Caenorhabditis elegans: one gene and its partners. The protein of the gene in region 4 interacts with the protein of the main gene of each other region in a pairwise test. Each region holds a gene or a part of one and is shown on either strand. Other genes may lie near its edges.

Region 1 (8,008 bases), on a different chromosome or scaffold from region 4:
TTGCACAAATATTTGAAAGCATATTATTAAGCGCGGTATACATCAGCGATTGAATATAAAATCAGGAGAAAGAGGATAAATGGCGCCTGGAAATTTGTTGGGCAGTAGAGAATTGCTTGAAGATCTCTGTGAGACACTTTGTCGTTTTGCAAAATCCTTCTTCTTATCAATTATTGTGGCCGTCATCATTTTTGGTCGACTTACTGCCACTTCGCTGGAAATTACCTGAAATTTCGTGGGGCAAATTGTGATCCAGTGATGGATGATAAACTGTGCTGAGAAGATGAATTATTCAAATAATCAAATTTATTACAAAAAGAGGTCATCAGTTTGCTGAAAAAATACAAAACCTCTGAAGATCAGTGAGGTGTGGTAAAATTCAAGTGAAAGCGTGGTCCGATCATAACGAGCTGATGTCCAGCGTAGAATGATTCCGGCTCGAGTCCGTCGACACGTAGCGGATTTTTTCGTCGAAAATCTGAAGAAAAGCGTGATATTGTGTGTGTAGCCTAGTTTATTACGAACTTGAACATTTCCACCACCAGGCCGATGATTCATATTGTCCTTTGACCCAACCTTACTCTCGGCTTTCCAGTTCAATTTTTGACTTAATATCTGAAAATCAATAGCTGCAATATGAAAAGCCACCACGTCAAATTCAAGTTCACTCGTGTTTCAAATTCTTAATCTTCAAAATACCTGAACATTTCCACCAGCAGGCTTATGCGCTGCGTTGTCCATTGACCCAACTTTTGATTTAGCTTGCCAAGTCAACTTCTCCGAAACTATCTTCACGTCAGACTTTGCTGGCTGATAATTGGTTTTCGAGCCAACCTTTGGTGAAGCTGCCGAAAAATCTAGCTTCCTGTTTTCGATTTGAACGTTTCCGCCTCCGGCAACGTGTGTTGCGTTTTTCAAGGAGCCAACTTTGGATTGGGCGTTGTAGAGCTGAAATAACTGAATGTGTAAAAAATATCTAGGTTTTGATAATGCAACTTCTGGCGAACATCCTTATTTGGTGTTCTCCAAAAATGAGATCTACAAGACCGATTTGTTCAGCTCTTTTTTGAGCTAAACAGCGACCTTCATAAACGTCATCTGATTGGCTCAAATCGCAGAAAAATTTTTTAATGTTCACTCACTCTTTTCTCCGAGAAAATTTCCACATTTCCGCCGCCCGCCTTATGATTGGTGACACTTCCCACTTTGCTCTTCACATTTACAAATTTGGCGTTAACCTTTGGCGTCATTCTTCCAACATTATCGATGCTTCGCGTAGACGTGGATTTTTGAACATCCGACCGTTCTCGAGACATTTTTCTGAAGATTTGTTACTTTTTTACTAATTGGCTATAATAGGGATTATTCAAGCCAAGCAAAATTTTCAATTTATGGTCAATCAGTAATGATAACATTCTATATATAAGTAACAACTATATGTAATAACTCAAATTCTACGTGGAAATGTGAGAAAGTTTGAAAAATTGAGATCGCAGGTGCCATAAAAGAAATAGGAGCAGTTGGGTGCACAACAATAGAGGAAGCAATTATGTTTTGCAATACCCAGACAACAAATATTCCGCACCAAGTTTAGGTGATGTATTTTCACTATGGGATAGTTTCAGGAAATGAGTATAGATACGTCCATTAGCAAACTTAGATCTAGTTATTTACTACCACGAATGAAAAAAATAGGCAAAGATACGTCTAATACATATAAGCGCAGAGAAATGAAAAAAAAAAACGTATTTTGGATACAATAAGACGGACAGAACCAAACCCATCTTTAATCTTCAAATAACTCGAGAAATTGTTATGAAAAAATAAACACTCACGATATGGGTCTCGGAGATGGCGCTGTTGAAGCAGTTTGTCTTGGTGTACTAATAGCGCGTTGAGACGAGGGAGTAGCAGTTGCTGGCCTAAAACAAGGAAATGCTCAGAATTTGTGATGAGTGGTCACTAGGTGAGCAACAAATGAAAAAATTACCTTGGCAAAGATGCTGGTATCGGTTTTGGCTGTCGCAGAATCGCCGTTGGTGGCCGAATCCCAGATCTTTGTGGGGTCTTATGTTGGGGTTGTGATGGAGTTGGGCTCATTTGTTTCTTCTCCTCGACTCTCTCGTTTTCATTGTTCTGCATAATTCTGTCGGCTTGTTGATCGGAGGTACCAGACGTTTCGGAAAAGTTTAGAGACTCGAGCTCTCTCGGAGCGATATCTTCCATTGTTGGGGCGTCGGGGATCGGACTCGAAGGCTTGGATTTTCCAGATTTTTCAGGTTCTTGTTCTCGAGGAGGAGATTCTGAAAATCTAGAGATTAAGAATGCTGAAGATTACATTTGAAACCTACCGACTACAACTTCTTCTTCCTTCTCGACTACTGGTTCGGGCTCTGGCTCCGGTTCAGGCTCTGGCTCCGGCACAGGTTCAGGTTCTGGCTCCGGTTCAACCTCTGGTTCAGGCTCCGGTTCAGGTTGATACTCTGGCTCAGGCTCTGGTTGTGGCACCGGTTCAACTTCTGGTTTAGGCTTCGGTTCAGGCTCCGGTTCAGGCTCCGGTTCAGGCTCCGGTTCAGGTTCTGGTTCCGGTTCAGGTTCGGGCTCCGGTTCTACTGCAACCTCCGGAAAAGAGCCCTGACTATACTGAGTTTCCTAAAACTAATAATTTTAAAATTTTCTCCAATAAAACTGAAAAGACAAACACAGAAGCAAAACGCGAAGTATATCTCAAAAATATTCCGAAGGGTGTCAATTTCTGTGTATTTGAGTGTGTCACAATGTATTCAGATGGGTGGTAGGAGGTGTATTCATGTGTAGAAGTGAATAGGCAAAAAAGGGGGGGGGGGATAAATGGTAAATGTGCCATAAATGTGTCCTTGAGATTTACAATTCACACCGACAAACCGAAATCGGGATGGATCAAAGAATTGTGAGGACTTAAAACATCAAAGTGGAGTTTAACGGGAGAATTAGCAGTTTCCTCGAAATTTAACCCACAAATTGGTAATTTTTTGGGGATATTGTTATTGTACATCAATATGTGTACACTAAATAAAGGGCGGCGTGGAAATAGTGAATAATGTACAAACAGTGAGAGAGAGACACACGATGCGATGTGAAATTGAATACCAACAGAGCTTTTGGGAAGAGAAAATAAAAATGAAGAAAGGGAAGGATAAGGGATTTACTATTTTAGTGGCTTTTGTTAGATCTATGTGGCGATGTGGTCGTTAATTAGGTTTGCCGATTTGCCAATTTGCAGCAAATTTTCAATTCCGGCAAATTTCCTATTTGGCCAAAATGTTATGAGGGACGGAAACACTTAAAATTGTGCCTTTTCGAAACATTTTCCCGTTTTCTTTTTCCGGCAAATTTGGAAAATCATCAATTTTTAGTTTTGCTCGGTTATAAAAATAAAACTGAAAATATATTCCATTTTTCGAAGCTCGATGAAAAATATATTCAGAAAAACATTAGCACAAATAGAAATTGGTTTTCCCCCTCCTTACAAATTAATTGAAAATCTCTAAAACTACAGACACATGACTTCAGAGTGGTCAGGAATAACAAAAAAAAGCATTCTGCCAAGTGAAAAAAAGAGAAAAAAACTGGCTTTCCACGGGGTCAACCCGGGAAAGAGTAAGTATCCATAAAAAATTTAGCGTTTTCTTTTCTTTTCGCCCTTCTCCTGACAACACCCGTCGGTGTATAGCTGTGAGAATTGACAAACAGTCGAGTGAGAAGCAAAACATTGCAACACGGGCAAAAAAAAACATAGAAATACACTCGAAAACGCAAATGAGAGAGCAAATATTTTTTGTGCATATTTTGGTGGACAGGTTAGGTGGGCTCATTTTTGTTGAATAAAATTAGAAAATTAAAGTGCTAGATACTTTTGTATATGAAAACTAGCTAAACTTTAACATTTTTGGCAACTTCTCCAAATGATGCCACTCAAAAATAGGTTTATAAAACATCTCAAAATATGTACAGAAAGAATTAAAGGGATATCTATTTTGCTTGAAATACAAAGAATTCAGTTCATTTATCCTGTGTCTGAAATTCAAGTATGCCCAAAGTAAGCTTGCCGATCTTGAAGAGCTTCAAGCTTAAAGAGGAGTTTTGCTGAGGTGTATTTTTCCACTTCAGTAATATGAAAACTGTCTCACTCAGTATTTTCCTAACTTGACTAACCCAAAAAGGCAGGGGAAAATTAAACATAGGTGAACACTCAAACTAGTGGATGTGATGGATCCCACCCGGACGATGATTACTGTCTTCGGAAGAGGAAGGTCTTTCTGTGGCGCGACACTTATTTGCCCAAGTCTCACAGGGACATGCGCTATTTTACTAAGGACAAACCACTCAATTCATTGCAATTCGTTTCTCCTAATTCAAATGTGAAGACGACGAAGAATAAGGAGAAACAGGCAGGAGACAAAAAAAAGCACATGAAAAGCAAATTTTGTCAAACTACAACAAGAATTGTAAAATCGTGCGTGCTTGGAAGTCGAACTGGGCTCGTGAAACTCGAATTCAAACAATTCAAACAAAAAAAAACCGATGATCTGATTTTTTGTCTCTTGCTGTCTCCCTCTCTTGCTTCGTTATGTCAATAAATCAAGAAGCTGCCTCACGGCGGGTTGAGAGATAGACAAAAAACTACTCACGGAAGGCATCAGAGGGATAATCAACTACTGACAAAGACACCTAGAGACAAACAAAGTGATTATGACTACGGAAGGGAGCAAGTTCTGCTAGAGTCAGTTTGTGCATGTTCCTGTTGGAAACTTGATGGTTGAACAGATTAGTTCTTATCTGAACAGCAAAACACAAGGATTGTTTGAAATAGTCAACTTTTTTGTTTGTTGAGATTGACCTACGGGCTTTTGATTCAGGGTTTAGGTACAGGACGAATATTAAGCTTTGGCAAGTCTCTGGATGCTCAATTTTTTGTTAACCTTATTATGCTCTTACAATTAGGCTAAATTTTTAAATTAGACCGCGGCTAATGCTGAAACTCCTAGAAAAATTGAAATCACGTTTTGCACTATGGGTGAAATTGGATTACTAAAGATTCATTTATAATAAAATTTTGTCCTTAATTTTACAGAGGAGCTAAGTTGAAAATTTTTCAACTCTTCACATATTCAAACTTTAGCTCCTAATTTAAAAACTAGGTCAAAGATTGTAACTAATAACCTCATACACACCCCGCTCGCCCACCATGAGAACCGCAAACAACAACTAATTTTGTTTTTTTCCTCTCTCTCTCACATCACCAACATCCATTAGATATCTATCCCTGAATTTCTCTCAGCTATTTGTGTTCCGTTTCGGACGTTCTCATGGATATTCTTGGCTAATCAAAGAGAAGAATTAAAGAATAAGAAGAGAAGAGTCGTCTTCCGGTTCAAGGACGCTTTTGAATAGTTAGAATGATGTCCAAAAGATGGAATAAGTCGTTTTAGGGAAAACAAAACCAAGCCATTAAATACGTACAACATGTAGAATTATATAAAAGTATGATTGAGAAATTTAAGAATATTGTTTGAAATTTATAAATACACTGTTTTCTTAGAAAATTGATCTTCAGAGTTTAAGGAATTGGTGCAGTTGTTGTGTACTTACTTGTGAAATTCAACTAAACGTTTCCATTTTTGGATGCTCAAAACAAATTCAAATTTTCAAACCAAAAACGAATCCTAAAAACCGAAAATGTGTGTATAATAGGCTTGCGAGTATGATAAATGAGTATGCATTTGGCAGATTGCCAATTTTCACAATGAGTGACAAATGAGACATGAAAGAGATCGAGGAGGAGGGGTTTAATGAAATGAGTATATTTTTCATTTTGACCATCAATAGCAGCAGAAGCAGCAGAAAAAGCAAATGTTCTGTGTGTGTACAATAAGCCAACACCTCACGCAACAGCTGAGCATACCATCGAATTTTCGTTTTCGCCAGGGGAGCCTGGCTCGGATCCAGGCTCTGATTGAGGGGTTGACATTTTTCCTGAAAAATTGAAATTGGGAGAAAATTGATAAGAAAAGAGGAGTAAAACTAGATCCACTTGCGGTGGTGGATTGAGGTAAGCAAACAAAAGAAGGCGATATCAATGTCAGTTTCAATATTTGTTAATCTATGTTCCAATTTTTAGTTTTTAGAGTGTTCAGATAAAACCGTTTTGAGTTGAAGTAAATATGTTGAATTATACTTTTTCGACAAAAAAAAACGAAATTATCCTATTTTTTTCTAATTTTTGAACTAAAATCGAGTTTTCTCTAGAAAACGGCCAAATTAACAATTATTTGAAAATGAATTTTCGCGAACTTTTCTGTGATATTTTGCATTAAAGTCCCCCGAATTGTTTTTTGACCAACCTATTAAATTTGCAAAAAATACTTTTAATTTTGAATTAAAACCTTGAGAAACAACCATAACGCCAAGAAAAAATTTGAAATTCTAGGAAATCCCATATTCAGAGCCTTCCTACACACATACACACACAAAAAACTTCTCTCACTCTATATCTCTCTTCATCAGAAGACGTCAAGTCTTCGATGATCTAGTCATGGGCGGTCGTCGTCGTTTTTCTGGTCGTCTTTCCCGGTTGTGTGAGGGGAGACACTAAAAATATGCACAAATCAATGAGTGAAAGCGCGCGACTTCTTCTTCTTCTTCTACTTTGCCAGCGGCACTCAGTCCGTTTGAGTTCGCGCACGCGAATATATGCAGAAGAGAAAAGAGTCCCTTCCGTTGCATAAGGTACCTTGTGAAATACAAATGAGTTATACTGAACATGCCAAAGAGAGAAATAGAGAGAGAATGTGAAAACGGAAATGAGGATGGATTGAGTGGCCTGTGTGGGACCTTCTTTCACTTGAAGATCCTCTTTTAGAATGTGTACAATTTTTGAGCAGATATGGGTTACACGGTAGTTCACAAGGATTTTGAAAGGAACTCGCATGGAATAAGGAATTTTTTGGAATTAATGACTGGAAAGTTGTACTGTTTCCATTTGTAATTTTGATTTTAGTCAAAATTTTTAGGTCGCCGTTTGCCGAACCCTAATTTTTTACGGCGATCGGCAGTGGCCGGTTGCCTAACACCCCTTGTTTTAGGCATTTTTCGGCACTTTTCGGCATTCTCAAAATCTTTGATGTTTTGTTGTTTTTGTTGTATTTTCTAAATCTAATTAGTTCAATTTCAAGGTTTGATAAGGAGCGTCTTGGTTTTAATTTTCAAGCAAAGATCAATTTTATTTTTTAACGACCAGACTGTTTGGATAGTCAAAAAAGGATCCCAGAGGCAAGAATGATTCAAAACAACTGTACACATGGACCGCCATAGACAATATCATCTCTCGAGGGTTTTATGGTGGGGTGACGATGTGTCGACTGAAAGAATATCTCCTCTATATGGCTAATAATTCAAATATGTTGACTTTTGGTAAGTGTTAAAAATAAAGGTGACTTGAGAGTGTTAGGGTACAAAAGACACAGAGATGTCCCTTGATTGTTCGCAGAAAACAATTTTTAAGGGTATGACTACAATATTTGTAGATTTATGTTTCAAGGATGAATGTGAAAAACTTGAATATATTCGATTAAATTTAAAAAAAAATCAACATTTTTCACAACTGTCGAAAAATGCCGAACATTTTTCGGCATTCGCGGATCTTTTGACCAACTTTATTTTCGGCGAACGACATTCGCCGTTCACAGAACCAAATTTTTTTCTTCGGCAAATGGCATTCACAGTTTGCCGTTTGCCGCACAGTCCTGATTAGAACTACAAGAAAAACATTTTATTTTTATTTTTGACGTTAACGCTAAATAGCTAAATATTAAAAGCTAAATATTAGGGGCCTGTCAAACAAGTATTAGGACACGCATGCCTATTTCGTAACTCTTGTGATTGTGATGGATGAGTACGAAAATTCAGAAATTGAGGGAAGAAGGAAAAAGGAAACACCCTTTTTGATGCCGCTGGCAAAGAAAAAGTT
Region 2 (3,839 bases), on a different chromosome or scaffold from region 4:
ATGAATCTAGGTGTGGACGTTGCAGGTAAGATTGATGAAAAGCAGCCGACATATCCCGGCTGTCACAATACTTTAGATTGATACGACACTTACCCGGGAAGTGTCGGACGCATCACATAACCTGTAAGTTGTCGGCTGCTTAGATTCATAATTATTCTTCAGGACTTCATGGCATCGGTGAAAGTATTGCAGTTATTTTCGTTCATTCACCTTACCGGAAAGCCGCTGGGCAGCTAATTTTCAGATGGAACGGTGAGTTGGAAGTTAACTCTTGCAAGTGATATAGTATACATTTTAAGATCCACAATCTAGCACACGAGTTTCTGCTGTACGGGGGAATTCCAGTGCGTTCACTATTTGAGTTTTTGATTTTTGGATAAAAAATAATTAACTATGGAGATTCAGTTTTGTCAATTGGTTATAATAAATTGTAAATAAAGTACAGTGAAAAATTGTGTTTTACTAAAAAAACATGCATTTATTTTGCGCCCGACACCTAACAGGTATTTGGAAACTTTATTACTTGAACAATTTAAAAGTAAATTTTCAAATAAATTCTGTTGTTTAGGAAGTTGCATATAATTGAATTAAAAATTTAACGAGGAATCGTGTCCCCCCTCTTCATAACTTCCATGCACAGACTCCATTTGCAGGGCTGAGGACGGGTGAGTCCTTCTTCACTAATTTTCCCTCCGCCATAGATTGCCAGCTCCAAATCCCCATCAATTAGCATGCTCAATCCGTTGGAAAAATCTGTATTTCTGAAAAATAATAGATTTTTTTTCTGAAAACACTTCAAAAACATACTCAAGCTTCTTAATTATTGCTGGATGAGCTCCGTGGCTTTCCTTCAAAAAGTCTAAAATGTCCAAAACCTCTTTGTAGTCTTCTCGAATGCCTACTTGGACTAAGGACCCTATAGGGCGGGAAGATGTGGCCCAGCTCTGAAAAATTTAAAAAAAATTAAAACGACCGACATCTACCGGGTTCCACAAAAAAACCCGGTAAGCCTATGCCTAAGCCTAAGCTTAAGTTTAAGCTTAAACCTTAGCGAGTTTCCAACGTGGAAACTTACCTGAACCAGCTGGGGAAAGCTTTCAATTATCACAATATCAGGAAAGATTTCCAATTTCTGATTTTGTAGAGCTGAGAGCAGAGTAGTTTTCAGCATACGGCTCAGGAAGGTGCCTGCCTCCACAATCCGAAGTACTGGACAATTCTGCACCAGAGGCAACATCAATAGATCAACATTCGTATTAGTGACGTTCAAGGTTAGCTTCTTAAGCGAGCTGTGATCCAAGAACGGAGCAAGTTCCAAAATATCGATAGATGCTGTTGAACTGCAGTCAATTTCTCTTACTTTTAGTGTAAGCAAATCTTTTCTCATCAAAAAGTCAGGAAATGATTGAACTTTTAGTAGTTTGATTCTCGATCCGTTACTGAAAAAAGCATCGAAAATTTTTTCATAAGCAATGTCAACTGGAATTTCCTTGGTTACTGTAATTGCCGTTCCATCTTCCTCGGAAATTGTGATTTCACAATTTCCAGTTCTACCGTGTTCCGAAGAATCTTGAAGCCGGTTTTCCCTTCGAAACCGAAGCCGTCTCTTCTCAAGACTATCCAGGTCCCCAAAAGAAAGTCGATCGGGACCCTGATTGCCCATAGGTCTCCATAAATGATGCAAGTCATTCATGTCAAACAGGGATGGGGGACCAAGGTCCATCACCAAAAGGCGATTATATTCTGCATATTCATATTCTGGTCGCCGGCGAGCCACACCTTCAGGCTTCGGGGCTTTTTCAGCAAGCTTTTTGAAAAGATATGATCTGTTCTGGATCATGATTTCAAATTTATCAAGGATAACCTCTTCGTGGGCATATGGTAGCAGAGCATTGACAGACCTGAGCTCGGGAATATGAATGTGAATTTGTTCTCTGAAAAAATATTTTATAATTGTTTTTTGTTACTGTAATATACTCAAAATTGTCCCTTTATTTTAGCCAAATTTTATCGCTTTTTTTTTGGATATTTTGAACTTCCAAATTTGAATAAATTTGAGGAATATTTAAGAAATCTCATTTTGAAATTCGGGTTTTTTAAAGTTTTTCTTCAGTCTATTTTCAAGCTTAATCACTATTCACTAACCTTTTCTTCACACTCAAAAACTTGAGAACGGATTTCAGCGAGGTGTAAGAGGTGTAATTCAACTTTTTTGGCCGAGAAGAAGAATAAGAAGCGTCCATCTTTCGGAGAATCAGGGAAGCAAAATGGGCAACTGAGCACCTTGGGGAGAGAGGGATTACGAGAAGATTAGTTCCCCCTTTTCCACTCCAATAGAGCATGATAATTATAGACGTATGTAATGTGCATGGGGATTAGGGATCAGATTTCGATTGTGCTACGACAAGCTTTTTGAAAATGTAATCTGGGTAATGGATATTTTCTTTGAATTTTGCGTTCAAAGTATTTTGCAAAAAAAACTTTAAAAACATAAAATAAAAAAACGCCAATTAACTTTCACATTTTTAGATTTTTTAAACAAGTTGTACATACAAAGTTGGGGTAAAACATGATGTTATTTATTTATTTATTTGAATTAGGAAGACACTGGAGGTAGTGAATTTTCACTATTAATCAAGCCAACTTTCACAGTTTTCCGGGTACTCGGCGTTGACTTTGGTTTCAAATTTATGCGATAGTTGAAGAGATACATTATCAATCTGAAATATAGAACACATTTCCAAAACTTTGACATCAAAAGCTTACCCATCAACTACATATACCATCACATCAAACCCCATACTGACGAGCACCGCACAGACATTCATCTCACAGTATTCTAGGGATAAATGGTTAACCGCCACGTCGACCATGCAAATCCAATCTTGGAAGCATGATTGGAGAAAGAATCTGATGTTAGACCTCCGCCGACTTTTAGCGGACTCAGAGGAGAGGGATTTGGAAGATTTCTGGAACAAGAACATTCTCTCACAAACCCCAACAGAAGCACTACAGTACCCTACCGTAGTCCAATCTACAGTAGTCCTACAGGCTTAAAAACTCACCGAAAGACAGAATAACTTGATAGCTATCAGGATATTCATGAAATTTGTAGAAACTGCCAATACTAATAAATAATATATCAGGAAGCTTATCAAAGCCTCAACGCATTGATAGTCATTTTCTGAATAGTCGGGAAACGGTACATGGTCGAAGCTGAACGGGAAACGGCAGATGTCTGAGATTCTTTTTTTTTTGGTTAATTGAGTTTTTTCACTTCGTAGAAAGTTAACCTGGCATTCCAATTAGAGTAGAAAACCAAACTGTGAAAAGCCATGATATTGCCATTGCGGCTACTGTAATCCGGGTACTGTACCTTGGAGTGTTAACCGGGGAACACCATACCACAAGAAAGCGGTTAATGGTTATCATTAGTTGGGTTGTGGGGCCTGAAGTTGATTATTGCAACGCTCAAGTTTGCGCGCCAACGAGGTGTGGGTGCCGACCAATCAGAGAAGTGCCGTAGGCGTGGCCATCGTTGCTGATTGGTCGGTTTGATTTTATGCTGCGCGCGTATTCAAAAAGTCTTAACCAACCTTGCAAATAAAGTCCGAAACCCATTGCCTGATTCAGATAGCCGCTCAACGTGTCAGATCCAATCGCGGCGTAACTAAAAAAATTTGAGCTTGAACCGAATCTCTATAATTACCTACAAAGCATTAATAGGCCCAATATAACCAAAATAGATAAGTAGGACCAAAGTATTAGAGATGGATTTCGACGAGCATAGAATGTAAAAAACAGTTTTTTCAAGCGATAAAAAGTGATAAAACATGAAC
Region 3 (4,124 bases), on a different chromosome or scaffold from region 4:
GTGTACAACTATATACATAGATTTGTTTAAATGTGGAGTACCGAAATTTGACCTATACCCAAACTGACCCAAAACTACCAAATTTTGTAATGAGGCATGCTGAAAATTTCTCAAAAAAAAAGGTTTGGAAAAATTGCCCTTTTTTAAGAAAAATCACATTTTTTCCATTGACTCGGTGTCGCAGCGTCTGGAACTTTATTTTTATTTATTTGGCATTCTTCAATAAATAAACATTGTGGTTTTTAACGGGCGTATATTTTCATAGAATTTGAGAACATAAAAATGAAAAAAGGAATTATTATAAGGAATTAGAATAAAAAAGAAAGCAGAAAAAACATTTTTGGTTATATTAAGTAGGAAGACATTTTCCCATCATCATCGTCATATGAGTTATCAACTGATAATGATGGTAAGTCGTTCTACAAATACTAAAAGGGTAGGCGATATTTGTTGATGTCGAAATTATGATAATGTAAACACAAACAATTAGCAACAACTTCAATGATCAATTCTAGTTTAAAGATTTTAATAAAACTTTATTGAAATTTGCTCAATATCAGAAGTAAATAAATCAGTATCAGGATAAATTGTGAACAGTTATATTTGCTTCTGTAAACAGTTGGGATTTGAATTCAGATGTAAATTTACATAACTTCTCGTTGCTGAACTTTATACTCCAAAATCCATGTATCCACTTTATGACTGACGACAATATCCGTGAAGTTGTTTATATGAATGGTCAGTTGATTCTCAGCAGTTCTGCAAAAAAAAAACTATATTTTAGAGCAGCACCATCAAACTTTACTTACCCTTCTTCCACATTATAATTTATTCGAATTTTATCCAGAACATCAATTATGTTTCCCTCATTCCTCATTGCAAATGAGAAATGCGTACCAACTTCCCGCCCGTGCTCCATCCAATCCTCGAAAAGCCGAAAAGTAGCATCATACAAGTACGCATTAATGTAAACTCTTTTGTGCCGAACTTTGAGCAATCCCTCCCCGGAAATCACTTCGCAGTATAAAAGTAGCATCTCAGCGGTTTGAATAAAATCAATATCAAGATTCGGAGCATTCATAAGGGGATCAGAAATGATGACACCTGATAGTGGTAGGCTTTTGATATCCAGTAGATGTTGTGTGGCATTTAATAGCTTTTCCCGGATTAAGCCATTTAACTGTACAACTTTAGCACGAATTTTGAGGTGTCTCGGGATTCGGAGTATTCCAGAGTTTTCCACGCAAAATTGTCGGGCTTTGATAGTAGGCCTTCCTCCCAGAAGCTTATCAATTAGGTATTTCATAGCATCGTGAAGCTTCCGCTCATTGTATTGTAATTGCTCAGAGTGATTTCCAACGGAAAACCGGATGTAATGAGTATAACTGGAGCTGGGAGCATTTTTCAAATCAGCTCGAGAAATCCTTTGCTCATTGTATGATGTTGGATTGTCGGTTCTGTCATCGACCAAGATCTCCTGTTCTTGTTCCTGGTCTGGCACTACCATTTCCAAATCTATAGATCCTTGGCTATTCACATCATATGGAAATGCTCGTGGCTTAAGCGAATTCTCGATCACATTCAATTCATAGGTGGTGCCATTCAATTTGATGCTGTTCTCATTTAACTTTAAAGATTTCAAATATAAAGGTCTTGATTTGTCAATAGAAGTGATTGTCCGGCACTGCTGGGAGAGTTGGAATCTAGAAAAAAAGCTTGTTTAAACATTAGTAAAATAAAAATAAAAAACTAACTTTTTATCAGGCTTCAGGTGCTGAAGAATGCTCCCAATGCTTGGATATGACAATGGTTTCGAGCTATTCATTTTTGATAATAAAGAATATGGAGAGAATTGAGCAAGCCGGTTCGATTCAACCAGATGTGTCCCATTATAGGATTATCTAGCAGCTGGTCTTATTCGGCAAGGCAGGCGTATCTCATTATCTTCCATCACCTTTTATTTTGATAATTAAAATGAACGACGGGGTATATCCGAATTTTTTGGTACAACAAAGTCACGGAAATCGATTTGATATGGGTCTTTAAAGTTGAGTAGTTAGGTACACCCCTACCACAACTCTGCGTAGACCTTGTTTAGCCATCAAGGAACTTGGTCAGGCTCAGCTACTTACACTACTGTTGCATGGGGCTTTCTAAGCAATCAAGCCAACCGTAAATTTTTAGATTTTTCACGAGAAAACTGAGAATGATCTATAATCTATAAACCACAAACTTTTAAAATAATGTTTCACATAGCACATGCTCGCTGGCAGCCTTTCTGAAAAGGAAAACGCGCTCTAACGGAAAGTTACTCCAAGATATTGAAAATGCGCGCGCGGGCGTGTATTTCGTCGTGACACGAGAACCCATCGGATCGACTGGCACCGGATCCGTGGAACAAGCACGGATGGTAGAACACAAAATCTCCAGCCTTCATCTCAACGGATTCACGTGGAAGGGACATGCCATAGTCCTTGTTCGCGTAGTATGCCATGTTGACAGCACCCTGAAAATGGTTTTTGTTCAGTGAATTCTGCGTTGCTGGGCCAGAAACATACCTCTGGGTTCCTGGGATCACTGGCAGAAAGACAAGTCCTCTGGGCGCCACGGGAAGTAGATCAAATCCTGATGCATTGGGTGACGTGATGCCAGTGATTCCGTGTACTGTGGCTTGCATATGTGTGCATCACTTCAAATCGTCCTTTCCAACGCATTCTCTCACGTGTAGAAAACCATTTGCTTCTGAAAGAATATTGCTGCATGGTCTTGAAAAGTTCGGCCATCGATTTATCGATTTATCCAAAACTCACTGTTTGCAAATCCACGTGTCGAAAGAACCACGATTCTGATGATTTCATCAGCGACATGAAGATGGTAATGAATATTTTTGAATTTCACTTCCTCCCCCTTTTCGTTTTCTTTTGAAACGTGGATTTTTTTCACGTTTGTCTCTCAATTAATTTTTTTTTCAATTTTATAAATTTAATTTTTAATTAAAATAAATATTTTTTAAATAAAAAAACGATGCCTGAAAATGTATTTGAATATAGGATCACTTTGACAGTTAACAGCGATGAGATGATACCACAAAAACTCTATATGAGGACCTTTTTCAACAATATTTCTATTCTACACATTATGAAAAAAACAAGTAACACATGAAAAGAAATTGTTCCTAAGTCTTAGATAAGAGTAACACCCAAATTGATAACAGTTTTCTTTCGAAAGTTGCTGCCTGTTAAATGTCATAAAATTTCTGGTAAATATTTCTAAAATTACTTGAGTTAGGCTTTTACTTTACATACTCTTCTCTTTGCATTTAACTAATATTACAGATAAACAATGCCTGAAAAAAAGAGTCTTCTAGAAGTGCCTCCAGAGCTCGTCTTCAGTGGTCCATTCGATCACGTGATCACTACTTACATGACGCTCACAAATATATCACAAAGCCCAGTGTGTTTTCTAGTAAAAACAACGGTTCCAAATAGTTATTGTGTTCGTCCAAACAGAGGTGAGTATTTTGAAGAAAAATGAATGACACGGTTACCGGACGGCCATTGTTTCATTTTTAAAGGAATTCTAAACATTGGGGACTCGAAACAAATTGAAGTGATGCTCCAACCTTTGGAAAAAGTTCCACCTGATGCTAAGCAGCACAAGTTTCTGGTTCAATCGTGCGTCGCGCCTTCCATTGATGTTTCTGATTTGGAATCAGTTTGGAAAAATGTCAAACCAGACGAGCTTACCTACAATAGGCTTGTGGTTACTTTCGTTGACAATACAGATTCAAAATCAAACATCGAGTGCGAAATATGTACCTTGGAGTTTTCAAGTGTTGTTGATAACCAGATTCCTAGGATTCTTCGTGAGTTTTGATGCCTCTAAAGTGCGGCAATACAATTTTTTGTACAGAGTGTGGCCACTCAATTTGTCAAAGCTGTGCATCAAAGCTGGCCAAAAACTGTGTTATCTTATGTCCATTTTGCCGGAATGAAACCAATGTGAGCAGTGTGGCAAGTCTTCCCAAAAACTTTGCATTACTGCAAGCAATTGATCAGGTAAGTTGATAACAAAGTTGTTCTCAACTGTTGAACAAATTTTTAAAGAAAACTTTACGAGTTCCA
Region 4 (3,144 bases):
ATTGGAAGTAGATATATATTGAACAATGTCAGATACACAATAATATCGATCACTTGGCAGTGTTCCAAATTTGCACATGTAGTATTAAAAGCAGAACATCTGGGCTGAATATTCCCATTTAAACGTTTTCAGATTAAAACAAAATTCAACTAGGAGAGCTATCATACATTTGTAAAAGCGTGAGCACTAGCCGAAATCGTCGCGATAATAACTCAGAAAAAAATCATGTGCCTTTAAAACTGAATGTCTCACTTTTTCACGGAAGTATGATGACATTGAAACTTTCAATTTGAAAGGAATAGTAAACATCGTGAGCTACGGTAATTCATCAAAATCCGGAATAACTGGAATAGGGCGAGTACCTCTGAAAATCGTGGCAACCTTGTTTCCGTGGATTTGACGTCGATTTTTTTTATTCAATTCACGGTTGAACTAATCGAGTTGATACTGTAATTTTGCATGAATCGTCCTCAATTACTTTCCTCTCTGTTGATTTTTTTGGCAATTCTGATTTCGAGTTCTTTTTAAGATTTGTGAGCACATTTCGAGAAAATCATTTTATTCATTCCTTAAAATCAATTTGAAAAAGTTCTGATAAGTATTTAATATATTACAAGGAGGTAAAAAGTGAAAGTATTGAGCTTGAATATATTTAACACAAAATCATGGAAATTGGCAGTGGGAGATCAGAGCAAATTACGAGGGGATCGGATCTATTGGACATTCTGGAAAGCGTCTGCTGGTGGATGAATCCATCCGTCTTCCTCTGCGAAGAAGTTTCCTGGTGGATTGCATTCGACTCCCATGAAAGCGGCGATCTCTTCGATGGTCTTGTCCTCCAACTTCTTTGCAATCGCAAATCCGATGCACTCCATGTAAGTGGTACACTCCCAGAAGTTGGCGAGTTCAATGATTTCTTTGAGCTCATCCAAGGTCTTCGGTCCAGCTTCTGGGTAACTTTGTTCAACAGTGATCTCATGGACATTGTCATCGGTTGGTGCAGCGTAGCGAGCGATGGTATCGAAGAGGAATACTCCAGCATCCTTCTTGAATGGAACCCTGAATGGAGCTTCAATCACCGCATTCTCCTCGGTCGCGAAATCCGGATACTGAAAAAAACGTTTATTTTTAAATCTATATTTCTCAAAAAAAAAAATCTGATATCTTACCTGGAGCTCAACAGCGCGACGGATGACTGGAAGAAGCAGGATAATGCGAGTTTCACGAACAGTGACTGACTCGTCAGAGTCGTTGAAGTCGAATTTGATCTCGCAAGATGGCATTGTTAACGGAAGATGTAGTGCAAGTTCTGAAATGATTTCGGTTAGGAAATTGTTTTTTATTGCAAGAGAATGAGGAAGAGTATTTACAAAATCAATGTTATAATTCTAGTAAATGGTAGAATGAATGTCAGAGGAATTCCAAAGATAAGCAAGAGAAAAGAAGAATATGATGAATGACTGAATAAATGCAAAAGAATGAAACTCTATGAGTATTGCGCGACGCGCTCTTTTACAAGTATAGAGAAGAAGACGGAGGGTGTGAGAGATACAACATATGACGAGGAAACATTGATTTCGAAATAGAAGGAGGTGTGCTACGCAGGATGAGTGGAGTTTATTGTTTTCCGATCGATACTGCAACCAATACATTTGGAACTTGGAACAGTGGAATTTGAACTTTCCCGATATTTCGAGTGTAGTGTAACAAGTGGATTGGAAAAACAGTGGCTGAGAAAACGGTTATTATTGTGCGATAAAAATGTTATTGCGAATGGAGCAATGAACACTTTGGAAGATAGACAACGGTAGATTTTTAATATTCTGGAAGGAGTAGTAAAAAGTTCTTTTAATTATTCGGATAAGTCTCGAGAGGGAATTCACATTCATGTAAAAATGTTTTTTCTTGAATTGGGAAACTAGAGTACTTTCAATAGATGAAGTTATTCGTAGAAATAAGAGAAAATAGTCATATTTGAAAGATCCCAAAGATCGAAATGAAAAAAAAACTTATTTTTCAGTGGAATAGAAAAAATGCGGGAATACAACCAAATAATTCAATAAAACAAGAGTTTTGTCTCATTGAGCATCAATCCATTCAAAATGCATTCATAAATTTATTAATACAATTAAAAAACTGAAAAATAATGAGAAAATTCGAAGAACACATAAACTTGTGGAAAATCAACAAATTATTTGATTGTCCGAGAGTACACGATGGTCGCTCATTTGCGCGCGGAATTCAAATTAAATAGACGCAGAGATTTTGGCGCTTCAGGGGTTCATAGCGCTTTAAAGCGTTGAGATTTTTGAAAAAAGCATGGTCATTTTAAATATGTAAAACTTTTGTTTATGTAAATACATGTAAAAGTTTTACATTTGCGTAAAGAGCGTTACTGTAAGGTTACTGTAAGCTTAGTAATTTTTCAGGAAACTTTTGAAAGATGTGAGTACAAAAAAATTCCCCATAAAATCTTTATTCAAACTCGGCAGTACTCTTAATTAGACTCTTCCATCAACTTATTCTCAATCCATGGAAGTCCGCCCTTACTTGCAGAAAGGAGAACTGGAGTCGATATGGCGATCACCATAACAATCAGGAACAAAAGAGTCGCCACGTGGCAAACGTCACACGAGTTTGGTCTGTGCTTGATCGAAACTACATCATGGTGGGTGCTCTCCATATTGCTCTGAATTTATATAATATTGATGTAAGCAAAGAGGAGTTACTTTCAATTAAAAAAAAAGGCTTTTTTGAAGATTCTTGTTTTGAAGAATTTAACAAAATTACAGAAACTTCTGGGACTTTTCTGTTAACCAATACTCATGTCATACTATTCTTTTCAGTATTTTCTCAACAAGAAAAGCTAGATCGCTAAAAAAAGCCAAAATCATTAAAAAACCAACCACTTCATACTCTGAGGCGTTTGTCCTTTTTCGATGTTTTCCGGCTCTGGTCGTCTCCGCCGCACTTGATCCAGAATCTTCATCCTTTTTAACCTTTGGAGTGACTGCGAGTGGCGATGGAGGAACCATCGTGGGCATCGGTGATGCAAGAGGAGGCACCGAATAGACGGGACCAATTACTTCGTATCCATCGTCTGCCATTCTTTTTTGATAGACACTTTTACAAATTCTGAAATAA

Evidence for each region.
Region 1: the proteins of sup-36 (region 4) and ptl-1 interact in a two-hybrid assay, tested with the Caenorhabditis elegans proteins (2 studies listed by BioGRID).
Region 2: the proteins of sup-36 (region 4) and fbxc-53 interact in a two-hybrid assay, tested with the Caenorhabditis elegans proteins (2 studies listed by BioGRID).
Region 3: the proteins of sup-36 (region 4) and fbxc-20 interact in a two-hybrid assay, tested with the Caenorhabditis elegans proteins (2 studies listed by BioGRID).

The regions. Positions count from the first base shown.
Region 1 is NC_003281.10:763,202-771,209, reverse strand, and holds the start of ptl-1 (Microtubule-associated protein), read right to left. Parts: upstream 6,022-8,008; 5' UTR 6,011-6,021; coding exon 5,945-6,010; intron 4,707-5,944; exon of another isoform or gene 4,557-4,706; intron 2,653-4,556; coding exon 2,352-2,652; intron 2,304-2,351; coding exon 1,991-2,303; intron 1,923-1,990; coding exon 1,836-1,922; intron 1,321-1,835; coding exon 1,143-1,320; intron 949-1,142; coding exon 700-948; coding exon of another isoform or gene 691-699; exon of another isoform or gene 616-690; coding exon of another isoform or gene 526-615; intron 479-525; coding exon of another isoform or gene 401-478; exon of another isoform or gene 291-400; intron 226-290; coding exon 43-225; 3' UTR 1-42.
Region 2 is NC_003280.10:3,709,710-3,713,548, reverse strand, and holds fbxc-53 (F-box C protein), read right to left. Parts: upstream 2,259-3,839; 5' UTR 2,244-2,258; coding exon 2,146-2,243; intron 1,935-2,145; coding exon 1,076-1,934; intron 945-1,075; coding exon 808-944; intron 762-807; coding exon 596-761; 3' UTR 502-595; downstream 1-501. Other genes in the region: srh-100 (Serpentine Receptor, class H), read left to right, coding at 1-25, 163-252, 300-361; srx-110 (7TM GPCR serpentine receptor class x (Srx) domain-containing protein), read right to left, coding at 2,597-2,720, 2,767-2,969, 3,066-3,238, 3,294-3,449, 3,597-3,670, 3,714-3,839.
Region 3 is NC_003280.10:2,417,190-2,421,313, reverse strand, and holds fbxc-20 (F-box C protein), read right to left. Parts: upstream 2,179-4,124; 5' UTR 1,826-2,178; coding exon 1,755-1,825; intron 1,704-1,754; coding exon 810-1,703; intron 760-809; coding exon 645-759; 3' UTR 521-644; downstream 1-520. Other genes in the region: F42G2.7 (phytanoyl-CoA dioxygenase), read right to left, coding at 2,309-2,677; F42G2.5 (Major sperm protein), read left to right, coding at 3,343-3,511, 3,575-3,865, 3,913-4,058, 4,107-4,124.
Region 4 is NC_003282.8:6,599,845-6,602,988, reverse strand, and holds sup-36 (SUPpressor), read right to left. Parts: upstream 1,316-3,144; 5' UTR 1,284-1,315; coding exon 1,170-1,283; intron 1,110-1,169; coding exon 714-1,109; 3' UTR 546-713; downstream 1-545. Other genes in the region: F15B10.3 (BTB domain-containing protein), read right to left, coding at 253-309; F38A5.8 (uncharacterized protein), read right to left, coding at 2,498-2,689, 2,907-3,107.